Linked DNA regions of Callithrix jacchus. The main gene of each other region encodes a partner of the protein of the gene in region 2 in a complex. Links are inferred from orthologs where the notes say so. Each region holds a gene or a part of one and is shown on either strand. Other genes may lie near its edges.

Region 1 (4,198 bases), on a different chromosome or scaffold from region 2:
AGGAAAAGGAAAGAAGAAATTAGTTTACAGGCTGATTAGGGAAACCTCTCCGAGAAAAGACCCTTCAGCTGAGACCCAAACACCAAGGAGCCAGATACGTAAGCTCTCAGTAAAGACCTCGAGGACACAGCAGCAAGGACAAATCTCTTTGGATGGGGGAGGCTTGGCAGAACCAATGAGGATGGCATATGATGAATGAGGAGGAGTATGGTACAATATGAAGTCAGAGGGGGACATACAGTAAGGAGGAATAAGGTAAAACCAGCAGGTTATAACAAATAGCTTGGTTCTGAGTGCCAGGAACCACCTAACTCTATGTTTTATTGCAATTGGAATGATGCACATCAAATTCACTCCAGTAGGCTTAACATTAAAAGAGTGAAAATTATATGACTTCTCTATGGATCCTCTTACCCACCTTGCTTTTTTTGAAGTCAAAGCTTTATTTTCATTCAGCTTTCTTCCACCACTTTCTGTATCAAAATAGAAGTTATTTTAAAGGGTTACTTCTATACATTTAACATATAACATTAAGAAGTTCATTCTCTGACTTTCTGCCAAACTAGTAGCCTATATCTAATTTTTAAATCTTCATTTAACAGTCAGGTTATTAAGACGCTGCTTAAAAAGAAAACATTTATTAGAGAAACAATAAAAATTTGTATAAAATACAATCATTTTATTTTTCAGACTCAAGGTAGTACCTTAGGAATGGGTCTATATTTACTTGATATACTGTAAAATCTAGAACCCACTACTTCAGTGTCATAGACCTTGAATGTCTATGTTTCTTTTCTTTCCCTTCGAAAACATACTTTATGTATTTAATGATAATGAAGGTAAATACTTCACTGTAAGTAATTAATGATAATGAAGGTAAAATGGGTTAAAGGATTTATTCAAGAATATAAAAACCAGATTTAAAAAAATTTCTCCTCAGAAGAGCGGAGAAATTAAATGCAGTCTCTAAATAAGCTGAATCAAATCAAATATTATGATACTGTCACCACTTGACAATCATTTAATAATTTTGCTATCTCCTGATGTTAGGAACCTGTACAAGTAACAGAACTAAGTAGAAGATATTAAATAACTTGGGGACCCAGGATTCTTTCATGTTTAATAGACAAAATACTTTGAACACATTTCATTTTACAAATAACGTAAAAGATAAAATATTCACAGGAGTCTCTGGTTAAATTCCTATTTTCTAAAAGAAGAAATACCTGTGGTATTCCTAGCACCATCTTTCCATGTATCTGGAGTGATAACAGTACCAAGTTTCTTTTCACCTGTTATAATAAGATAGTAAAAAGCAATTTAAAATTTAGTATTTCATAAGTGCATCACATTGTGCCTAAGGTTCACAATGGTATCAACAGTCCTATTACTGCAGGAGCCTGTTAATGCTGGGAGAGCAGTCAGTGAACTGAGACTTGTATTAACTGTGGGCAATGAATGACTGATCCACAGTAAAATCCGTAGGATAATAAGATGGCTTATAATAAGCTTTCTCTGTTTGTTTATACTTTAAACAAATCTGGCAAGTCTATTTGTTCCATACATATTTACTAAGCATCTATGATGTATAAACTATACAAATTACTGAAAAAAATAAGTGATGAATCAGACAAAATTTTAAAGAGATTATAGTACAGTAGTTTAACAGCAATCTTTAATCTATGTTCCACAGGTCGATCTTAAGAGATATGTGAACAAGGCAGAATTGTACACAAACCTTTTATATATCTTTTTTTTTTCTTTCCTGGCAAGAGTCTATAGCTTTCTTCAGATTCTCAGAGAGAACCTGAGAATCATTCAACCAAAATATAAGCTAAAAATTAAACGGTGTAATAATTGAGAGCTAAAGTACTAGGTGAAATTCCATGCAGGAAGATATAACCCTGGCTAAGGAAATCCAAGAAAGTTTGGGGAGAAGGCAAGAGAGAGGATTTGAATATGTGGCAATAGGACTGTGAACAAAAAGGAGTAAAGAGGATAAAGGCAGACTGATAAAGGACACATTCTGAGGAAAGGCATGGAAAGCTCCGAGTACACATGGGCACAAAGGGTAGTTACGTTTGGTCAAAGTGTGAAGAGGGTAAGGATCAGTGAAGATGAAGCTGGAAAAATAAGTTGGGGCCTTATTGCGGAGGGTCCTGAACGTCAGGCTCCAAATACAGAATCCCCACATTGTTCTCTGCACACTGAGAATTTATTAAAGGTGTTAAATTAGGGAAATAGTAACTTGCACTTGCGTTGATGTTCAATTCACACATCTTCTGGGCTTACTCTAAGCCATATTCTGGCATAATGACTAACAGGAATGAGTAAGACGAGGTCCTTGGTCTTTGGTTCTAGTGTGTTACATGAATAAAAAGGAAAGGTCAGGAATTGCAAGAGGGAAAGGTGTGATTGGGGTTTAACTGAACATTTTTATACGGGAGGGGAGCTGATGAGATCTGGAGCTGGGGGAAGGCAATGGAAATAGACAAGGAGATGCAGAACTAAGACCATTCTGAAAACAAAATATACTATAGGACTATATGGTCTTTGGGGAGGTGCAAAAATGGTCAAAGGGTAGAGCAGAAGGACAGCGACTAGAATCAAAGATGTGGGCGAAGAAAAAACAAAAGAGAAGGCAGAGTTCCCGGGAGAGTTCATTTAGGTTCCCCCAGTTTCTTCCTCCCGCAGGAGGAGCCCCTTAACTCACATTTTTCGCAGACCATCCTTCCCCACGACGGTTCCCCTAGCCGCAACAGCAGCAGCAGCAGCAGCAACAGCAGCCCGAAAACATCAAAACTAAAACCCGGACGGCTTCCCCTTCCGGGCTACGTCAACCCACTTCCGGCTTCTAAGCACGCCGCTCCGGTCTAGCCCAAACTTGGAAGGCCGCGGGAGGAATGAACGGGAGCGTCTAGGCGGGGCTGCCCCATCTGCCCGCCCCTCTCTTTCTGCTACTGGCTATGCGGCCCTGGATCTCCGCCCCTTAACCCTGCGCTTGCGGGTGGGCCTGGGTAGCACGTCGTACCTGATGGTAGGAGGCAGTAGTTCCCCGCTTCCCTTCCGCGGGTGGGAGAGTTAGGTAAGCCCCAATGTACGCCCCCGGCGATCTCGCCCCCCGGGGTGCAAGCCACCCCCGCGAACTGCCGTAGCAGCCGTGAGCCTTGGCGTCCCGGCCCGCCCGCTCTCGCCCTCAGCTCGAGCGCCACTCTTCCGGCGTGCTCTGATGGACAGACCCCCCCTTTCGGATCCGAGTTTCTGCCTCTGTCCCCCAGTTTTCCCTTGTCTCCAACTCCCGTGCTCTTTGATCCTGCCTCTCTGCTGGTTCCTGGCTGTCGACGCTCGCGCCGGCCTAGGCTCGGGCAGAATCCCGAGCGACCCAGGTTGGGGTGGGGCTGCCAGTGAAGGTGCGGCGATGCCCGCGAGGGCTCCTCTGGGGGCCGCTCGGAAGCGCCGTCTCTCTGCTGCGGTGCCTAGCGAGGTGGGCCAGGTCATACCCGTGGCACCCTTGTAGGTGTCCTGGGGGCACGCCAGGGCCTAACACGGTGTGGGTTTCCCAGGAGAGTTAGTTTCCCACTTTACATACTCTGGTTCCTTCATTCGTTCAGCAAACATTTGAGTTTGGTTCCTGCTTATTGTAGGAGCATCTCCTGTTGGCAGCTGCGATTCCGAGGGTGGCTCAGAAAAATGGATGAAGGGTTTGTTGTGAGGATGGATTCCTGATGATTGCCCTCCCTCAATCAGCTTAAGATAGAATCTATAGGAAACTTTCCCTTTGTCCCTTCTTGCCATCCGTTTCCTTCTCCATCCCTTTATTTCGTTGTACCAGAGAGAGGGCTGTAGCTCTTGAGAACTTGGACCTCCTTACCTGTTTGTCGTGTTTCCTTATCAGTAAAGTATCTGCCTTTGAAAAGCATTGGGTGAATTAAGTGAGAGCAATTTTTTAAATTGCATTTTAGGTTTTGGGGTACATGTGAAGAACATGCAAGATTGTTGCATAGGTACACACGTGGCAGTGTGATTTGCTGCCTTTCTCCCCTTCACCTATTATAAGGTCCAGGTGTTTTGAAACAAATACATTGCCCATAGGAAATTGACTTTATGACTTATTTGTAGGGGTTGAAACATTTTGGACAATGGAAAAAGTCATTATTGCATATGCTCTTCTTGTTTTTTATTAGCTAGCCACCCAGGA
Region 2 (3,561 bases):
TCGGGGATCAGGGAGATGTGAGAGCCAGGCTACGGAGGTGGCCCCTGCAGAGGCCTGGGCTGGCTGTGGACACTGAAGGCAGCTGGGGCAGGTGGGCAGGGGACACTCACCTGGAGGGTGATGATGTCCTGCCGGGAGAAGGGCTCATCGCTTAGCAGGTCCCGGAAGTTCTTGGCCTTGATATTTAGCTGTTCCACTGCCTACAGCCAGGAAGAAGTGGTGTTACGATGCATGCCCCAAGCCTTGGCACAGGAGCCTGCGAGCAGGGAGGCCCAGAACTGGCACCATGACACCATTTGAGAGGCGAGGAACGAGAGAGACAGCAGTGTTCACCCCACTGATTGAAAGCAGTGGCCCCCACAAAGGCGGAGCTGGCTGGGCATCAGACGATGTGCCAGTTCAGCCTTGCAGCAACCTTCCTGCAGGAAGCTCTTGTCTACATATTGATCAGCAAAGTGGCTGGGCGAGCCACCCACCCACTCGCTGAAGCCTTCACTGACTACTTCCCATGCACAGGCATGGTGCCAGGCCTGTGGGCAGGGGCTGTGCACATGAGATGCCTGCACTCCTGGGGCCCAGTATAGCAGAGTCCTCAATCCACTACGAGGACCAACCATGCCAGTCTATGTAGGCTTCTGGCAAGAAGTAGCCCCTAAGGTCCCTGGAGCAGCGCTGGCCACCTATACTCCACCAATGTCCTGGTGCAGGACTGAAAATGGCACAAAGGTCGGGGCTTTCCTGCCACATAGGGCCTGTCCCGCCTCACCCCTGAGAGGAGGACCCATGTGTGAACATGGCTGCCTCCTCTCTTCCTACACCCACTCCCAGACAGAACTCCTCCAGGGGACAGCTCCTTCCTGGACACAACTGGCTCCATCGAGAGCCAGGGCCAGCACTCCTCTCACACCGTTCTCAGAGCACGGTGCCTTCCCAGCACCTAGGTTTTGCTGAAGATGCAGAAGGACCCCCTGCGAGATAAGGGTCCCTGCTTGCCAGCCAGGACTGCCTGATTCCAAAGGATGCAGCTCCCCCAACCCTATTCTTGACCTGCCTGAAATCTGGGAGGCTGTCATGCCAGAGCTTTGGCAGAGGCCGGTGCCTGTGGCTGTGACTGTAAACCCCACAAAGACAGGCCATGCCCGCAGCACAGCCCAGCCCATGTATCCTGGGAACACACAGCAGAGATCTCCCCACCGTGGTCTCCAGGCCCTGGAGCAAGGACACACCTCGTAGGCGTAGACGTTGCCGGTCGTCCTCACAGCCACGATGTGGGTGTTGTTGGTGAACACGGTGAACAGCACTGGGCAGTGGTACTTCCCTAGAGAGAAGGCACACACGGGGAGGCCAGTCACCTCTGTGGGCACTTGGGGCCAGGACAAGTCAGGACAGAACGCGGCCAAAGTTAGCGATGGGAGGAGGTGGAACCCCGTCAACTGCCAGAGTAGGGAACCAAGGGGACAGCTGCTTAGCCCCTCAAGCCCCTCCATATCATTAGGAAACTCCTATTCATCCCGCAAGGCCCAGTCCCTGCAGCATCTTCCTCACATCCTCCAGCACACCTCTGCTGACCGCCATGCTAGTCTCCTCCTCTTCTTGAAGTTGGCCCTCAGCAAGAAACAACCCATGCTCCAGTCCTGACGGCTCCACCTCTTACCCGCATTCCCCGCCAACCCCCTGCTCAGATCTTCCTTCAGAACTGCCCATCCCCTTGCCCGGCTACTGTCTCTTTTTTTGTTTTGTTCAGTTTTGAGATGGAGTCTTGCTGTGTCACCTAGGTTAGAGTACAGTGGCGTGATCTCAGGTCACTGCAACCTTTGCCTCCGGGGTTTAAGTGATTCTCCTGCCTCAGACTCCCAAGTAGCTGGGACCACAGGCATGCATGCGTCACCACGTATGGCTAATTTTTGTATTTTTAGTAGAGACAGGGTTTCACCATGTTGGCCAGACTGGTCCGGAACTCCTGACCTCAAGCCATCTGCCTACCTTAGCCTCCCAAGCCTTGGTTACTGTCTCTCTGCCTGTTAAGTCCCCACTGGGTGGGGACTTGAGCCCTTAGGGAGACCTCATCTCTACAAAAATGAAAATAAAAAAAATTAGCTGGGGCGGGGCACAGTGGCTCATGCCTATAATGCCAGGGAAGGTATGTCTGTGCCCAGGCAGGAGTCTGCGGCAGGGGCTGGAGTCTGTGATGGGCACAGGGGAGGCACATCACACTTCCTCTCTCCACTTTCATCCACGAAGAATAATTCCAATTAACAAAGAAACAAAGCAGACTGGCCTGTAATCCCAGCATTTGGGAGGCTGAGGTGAGTTGATTGCTTGAACCCAGGAGTAAACTTGGCCAACAGTAAAACCCTGTCTCTACAAAAAACACAAAAATTAGCTGGGTGCAGTGGTGGTGCCTGTAGTCCCAGCTACTTGGGAGGCTGAGGTGGGAGGATTTCTTGAGCCAAGGAGGCAGAGATTGCAGTGGGCTGAGACTGTACCACTGCATTCCAGCTTGGGTGACCGAGTGAGACCCCATTTCAAAAAAAAAAAAAAAAAAAAAGGAAACAAAAGAAAAGAAGCTAATTGCCATGTCAAAGTTTAAAAAAAAAAAAGCCAGACCTCACCCCTCCCTCAGTGGCTCCCATCTTGGGCAGAAGCCCAAGTCCTCCTGTGGCTCCCAGGGCCCACAGGACTGCTCTGCACCTGTCCCTGCCCCAACCTGTCACCACATCCCCTGCTTTCATCATTAGCACATGCTGTACCAGACATACTGGACTCCTGGCTGGGCACAGACACCCTCAAGCATGTGCCCACCTCGGGGTCTTTGCACTGGCTGTGCCATCGGCCCAGCCCTGCGCTCCCCTGAGCCTCTCATGGCTCTCCCTCCCTGAAGTGTGTCAGGGCGGCCCTCTCCTTGCTGTGCTCTCCACACGGAAGCAGCCTCTGGCATACCCTGCTGAGCTGCTCTCTGGCGTTCTTCCCCACCAGAACACATGCTCCTCTCAGCAAAGACTCAGCCTGTTGTGCTCTCTGCACATGGCAGGCACTCAATAAATATTTGCTGAATGAGAGACATACACTGCTGATCACAGACAGGGAGGCAGCCCACCTTCGGCCACCAGGGTGCAGCTCCCTGTCCTCCACCTTTGTCAATGACATGCTGAAGTTCACTCACTCATTTACCTGCGAACGCAGCATCAGCTAGGAACCGGGCTCTAGGCTCAGACAAGTGGGGCAAAAGGGCCATGGCCTCACATGCTACAGCATCTCCCTGGAATGCATGCACCCAGTGAGCATGGACAACCCCTAAATCATGGGATCTGCAAGGGCAGAAGACCTGTGCTAGAACCTAGGACAAGGTCAGCACCTGGGCAGGGGTGAGCTGTGTACCTCATTTAAGAATCTGACCACAAGAGCAGCGCAACGTGTGTAAGGGACATGAAGCAGGAGCTGCTGAGCTGGGCTGGGCTGGGCTAGGCCCTATGAGCTGTAGTGAGGAAACGCCCAGCCTGAGAGCTACCCGACAAATCCCTCCAGACCACCACATTCCCTCCCCAGCTGCTGCCCTAGTTC
Region 3 (3,988 bases), on a different chromosome or scaffold from region 2:
GCATTTCCTATCAGGTGATACACGATTTCAATTTGCCCCATTAGTGGTAATGGTAACTTTGATCACTTCATTAAGGTAATGTTTACCAGGTGCGCCATTGTAAAGTTACTCATTTTCCCTTTGTAATTAAGTAGAGTTTTGTGGGTTTTCTCAACCTCAAGTATTAAAATTCTATTCAAAGAAACAGTTCAGCCAGGCACTGTGGCTCACGCCTATAATCCCAGCACTTTGGGAGGCCAAGGCGGGTGGATCACGAGGTCAAGAGATCGAGACCATCCTGGTCAATAAGGTGAAACCCTGTCTCTACTAAAAATACAAAAATTAGCTGGGCATGGTGGTGTGCGCCTATAGTCCCAGCTACTCGGGAGGCTGAGGCAGGAGAATTGCTTGAACCCAGGAGGCAGAGGTTGCGGTGAGCCGAGATCATGCCACTGCACTCCAGTCTGGGTAACAATAGTGAAACTCCGTCTCAAAACAACAACAACAAAAAGAAACAGTTCAAATGCCACCTCCTTCAAGCTTTCCTAGCTCTTCAATTTCTCATTCCCCTATCCTGTAGAACCTTTTCCACTTTTATCAGTATTTAATTTTGTCTTAAATAGTAGGTGACTGTACTAATTACCATCACCAACTATAGTTTACAAGCAATAAATAACAGACTAGAGCATTAGGGATCTGGAGTCAGAAGACTTAAGATTCAAATCCCAACTTTGTCACTAAAAACTACGTGACTTCAGGTAAATTAGTGCATCTCTCCGAACATGATCCCTCAACTGGAAAATAGAATGAACAATCCTCACTGCATAAATGGTTGAGAATTAAATAAATCACACTGTGTAAAGAATGTGGCAGAGTCCCAGACTCAACAAACGTTAGCTAGCACCATTTTTTGTCATTCTTGAACATTAGAGCCCTGTGTTCCATGTACCCACTTCTTCCCTTCACTTCTTTTATGATACTAAATTTAATTTTATTAAAATAATACCAAAAGGTGGCAAGAACAGTACAAATAGCTTTCTTTTTCCCAAATGATTTGACAGTAAGCTGCTGACACAATGCCTTTTCACCTCCTAATACTTTAGTGCAAGAGTTGGCAAACTCTGACCTGTGGCCAAATCTGGCCCCTCCACCTGTTTTTGCAGCTAAGAATGCATTTTACTTTTTTATTTTTTTGAGACAGAGTCTCACTCTGTTGCCCAGGCTGGAGTGCAGTGGCATGATCTCAGCTCACTGCAACCTTCACTTCCCAAGTTCAAGCAATTCTCCTGCCTCAGCCTCCCAAGTAGCTGGGATTACAGGTGTGTGCCACCACACTTGGCTAATTTTTGTTTTTAGTAGAGACGGGATTTCACTATGTTGGCCAGGCTGGTCTTGAACTCCTGACCTCAGGTGATCCGTCTGCCTTGGACTCTCAAAGAGCTTGGATTACAGGTGTGAGCCACCACACCTGGCCGCATTTTACATTTTTAAATAGTTGAGCAAAAAGTACCAATGTTAATACAGCCAATGGCCAAGACGGCACCTTGTGTAAGTAGGAACTGGATAAATGTTAACTGAATGGGATGTTTAATTTTAAGATGCTGGGCCGGGCGCAGCGGCTCACGCCTGTGATCCCAGCACTTTGGGAGGCCAAGGTGGGCAGATCCCCTGAAGTCAGGGGTTTGAGACCAGTCTGGCCAACATGGAGACCGCATCTCTAAATTTTAAAAAAGAAAAATTTAAGATGCTGATATTTCTTGCATTAGACTGATACCTCCATCTCCCTCAATGCCACCTGCTGGGTGCTCAATGTAGATAGATAATTAAAGCTCTAAGGACCAATAATTAAATGTAAATTATTATGGAAACTTTCACCTATATAGTGATTCTTTTTACTTCCAAAAAGCTACTGTTGCATTTATGCTTATCTCATTCTCCCAAGACCCCAATCAAGTAACTGAAGAAAGTTAGTTAGTTAATTAGTTAGTTAGTTATTGATTGATTGATTGATTGATTGAGACAGAGTTTCCTTCTCGTTGCCCAGGCTGAAGTACAATGGCACTATCTCGGTTTACTGCAACCTCTGCCTTCTGGATTCAAGCGATTCTCCTGCCTCAGCCTCCAGAGTAGCTGCGACTACAGGCGTGCACCACTCACTACACCCGACTAATTTTTTTTGTATTTTTAGTAGGGGGGGGGGTGTTTCACCGTTTTGGTCAGGCTGGTCTCGAACTCCTGACCTCAGGTTATCTGCCTGCATCGGCCTCCAAAGTGCCGGGATTACAGCCGTGAGCCACCGTGCCTGGCCGATTGAAGACATTTTTGTAGAAAGCTGTTCATGGAATAAGCCAAGCTAGTTACACAAAACTAGCGACTCATGGAAACAAACCTCACTGCGGCTTCCCGCTCCGATACAGGAGCTCAAAGGGAACGTCGGAGGGAACCTGGCATAGAAGGGCTGAAGGCGGCACAAATGGAAGAGGGAGTGAGCGAGGGGACTGGACAGTTAGAGCACCGCTCCTTCCTAGGGATGCGATTTTACGGACGGAGGCTATAGAGGTATCCCCAGAATCGAGGTGTGTGCGCTTCGGAAGCCTGGGGGAGACACGCGGAGGAGAGGGTCTTCCATTCTTTTTCCCGCTCCAGGCCTCAATTTACCCATCCGTAAAGCGAAAGGGGCAGACAGTATATAAGGCCTCTTCCAGATCTGACGCTCTTTAATTCCTGTCCCACCTGGAGCAACCCTTCCGTACCGCAGATCTGCTTCAACCTACCTCCCGCCTGCTCAGCTGAGAGTTCCTAGGCCGCCGCCGAAGACCGCGCTTCCGCCCCACGCCAAGGAAACGTCTGCGCCCGCCGCCAGAAAGGACCCCGAAGACGCCGCGGTCGCCTTTCTGCCCGGGAGGACAACCCTCTGCCTGAGGACCAGTTTCGAGGTATGCCTGCCGCGCAGACAAGAATTGGCACAGCGGAGCAGAGGGTCCCCAAGACGAGAAGCCTAAGACGTGGGCTGCTTTAAAGAGGGTGAGAACTGAGGACACACGAATCTGATCAGGCGCCTCGGGACCACCCGGAAAGGGGGGGCCTTCAGGCAGATCACGTGGTTAGGCTGTTAGAGAAGTTGCTGGGCAGCCACAGCTGCGGGGCGTGGTCTGTGCTGGGCTGCTCTACTGTTCTGGCTTATCAGGGAATCCCCAAACAAAGCAGGGCGACCAAGGCCGGGGCTGTTGGGGTGAAGGTCCGGGAGGCTGAGTAAGGGGGCGGAAGGGTTAGTTTTACTTATTAAATGTCTGGGAAGGGTTGAGAACTGGACACCTGAGTTCGGTTACTGACCAGCCCAGCCCCTTCTTGGCGTTCAGATTCCTCACTTTGGGGTAGGGTGGCTATGGGATTAGTTGAGGACCTCCTGCTTCCTTGCGCTGGAACTGTTCGTGATGACTGCCACAAAATCTAGCTCAACTCACCAGGAATCTGCAGTTCAGAGAGGTCCCACAAGTAAATGTCAGAACCCTGACTAGAACCCACGTAGAGAATCTCTCTGCAGGCCGGGCGCGGTGGCTCACGCCTGTAATTTCAGCACTTTGGGAGGCTGAACCGCGCAGATCACTTGAGGTCAGGAGTTCGAGGCCAACCTGGGCAACATGGTGAAACCCCGTCTCTACTAAAAATACAAAAATTGACCGGGCGTGGTGGCGCATGCCTGTAGTCCCAGCTAGTAGTCCCAGTCCTAGGCTGAAGCACGAAAATTGCGTGAACCCGGGAGGCAGAGGTTGCAGTGAGCCGAGATCGTGCCACTGCACTTTATCCTGGGCAACACAGTGAGCCCTGGGCTGGACAAAGGGATTTGGGGATTGGGTCATTGAGCTCCTTCCTCTGCTCCTTCTACTTGATTTCCTGCTCAGTCATTGCATTTGGTTTGGGTGAAAGTCTCCTTCCCCATTAAGGAGATTTAATGAGAATGAAACGTTATCCTCAGCTCCAGGGTAACTAACAAGAGTTCTGCTTTTGT

Evidence for each region. The genes of interacting proteins can lie anywhere in the genome.
Region 1: PPIL2 (region 2) and CRIPT share a complex: the UniProt entries of both Homo sapiens proteins name them as parts of the minor spliceosome. The link is inferred for Callithrix jacchus from reciprocal best matches to the Homo sapiens genes PPIL2 and CRIPT.
Region 3: PPIL2 (region 2) and EFTUD2 share a complex: the UniProt entries of both Homo sapiens proteins name them as parts of the minor spliceosome. The link is inferred for Callithrix jacchus from reciprocal best matches to the Homo sapiens genes PPIL2 and EFTUD2.

The regions. Positions count from the first base shown.
Region 1 is NC_133515.1:68,132,440-68,136,637, forward strand, and holds the start of CRIPT (cysteine-rich PDZ-binding protein), read right to left. Parts: upstream 2,829-4,198; 5' UTR 2,730-2,828; coding exon 2,714-2,729; intron 1,293-2,713; coding exon 1,227-1,292; intron 474-1,226; coding exon 419-473; intron 1-418. Other genes in the region: PIGF (GPI ethanolamine phosphate transferase, stabilizing subunit), read left to right, coding at 3,230-3,484, 4,185-4,198. UniProt on the Homo sapiens protein: As a component of the minor spliceosome, involved in the splicing of U12-type introns in pre-mRNAs. Involved in the cytoskeletal anchoring of DLG4 in excitatory synapses.
Region 2 is NC_133502.1:193,648,633-193,652,193, reverse strand, and holds part of PPIL2 (RING-type E3 ubiquitin-protein ligase PPIL2), read right to left. Parts: intron 1,319-3,561; coding exon 1,227-1,318; exon of another isoform or gene 207-1,226; intron 201-206; coding exon 111-200; intron 1-110. UniProt on the Homo sapiens protein: Has a ubiquitin-protein ligase activity acting as an E3 ubiquitin protein ligase or as an ubiquitin-ubiquitin ligase promoting elongation of ubiquitin chains on substrates.
Region 3 is NC_133506.1:85,306,927-85,310,914, forward strand, and holds the start of EFTUD2 (116 kDa U5 small nuclear ribonucleoprotein component), read right to left. Parts: upstream 2,829-3,988; 5' UTR 2,754-2,828; intron 1-2,753. UniProt on the Homo sapiens protein: Required for pre-mRNA splicing as component of the spliceosome, including pre-catalytic, catalytic and post-catalytic spliceosomal complexes. Component of the U5 snRNP and the U4/U6-U5 tri-snRNP complex, a building block of the spliceosome.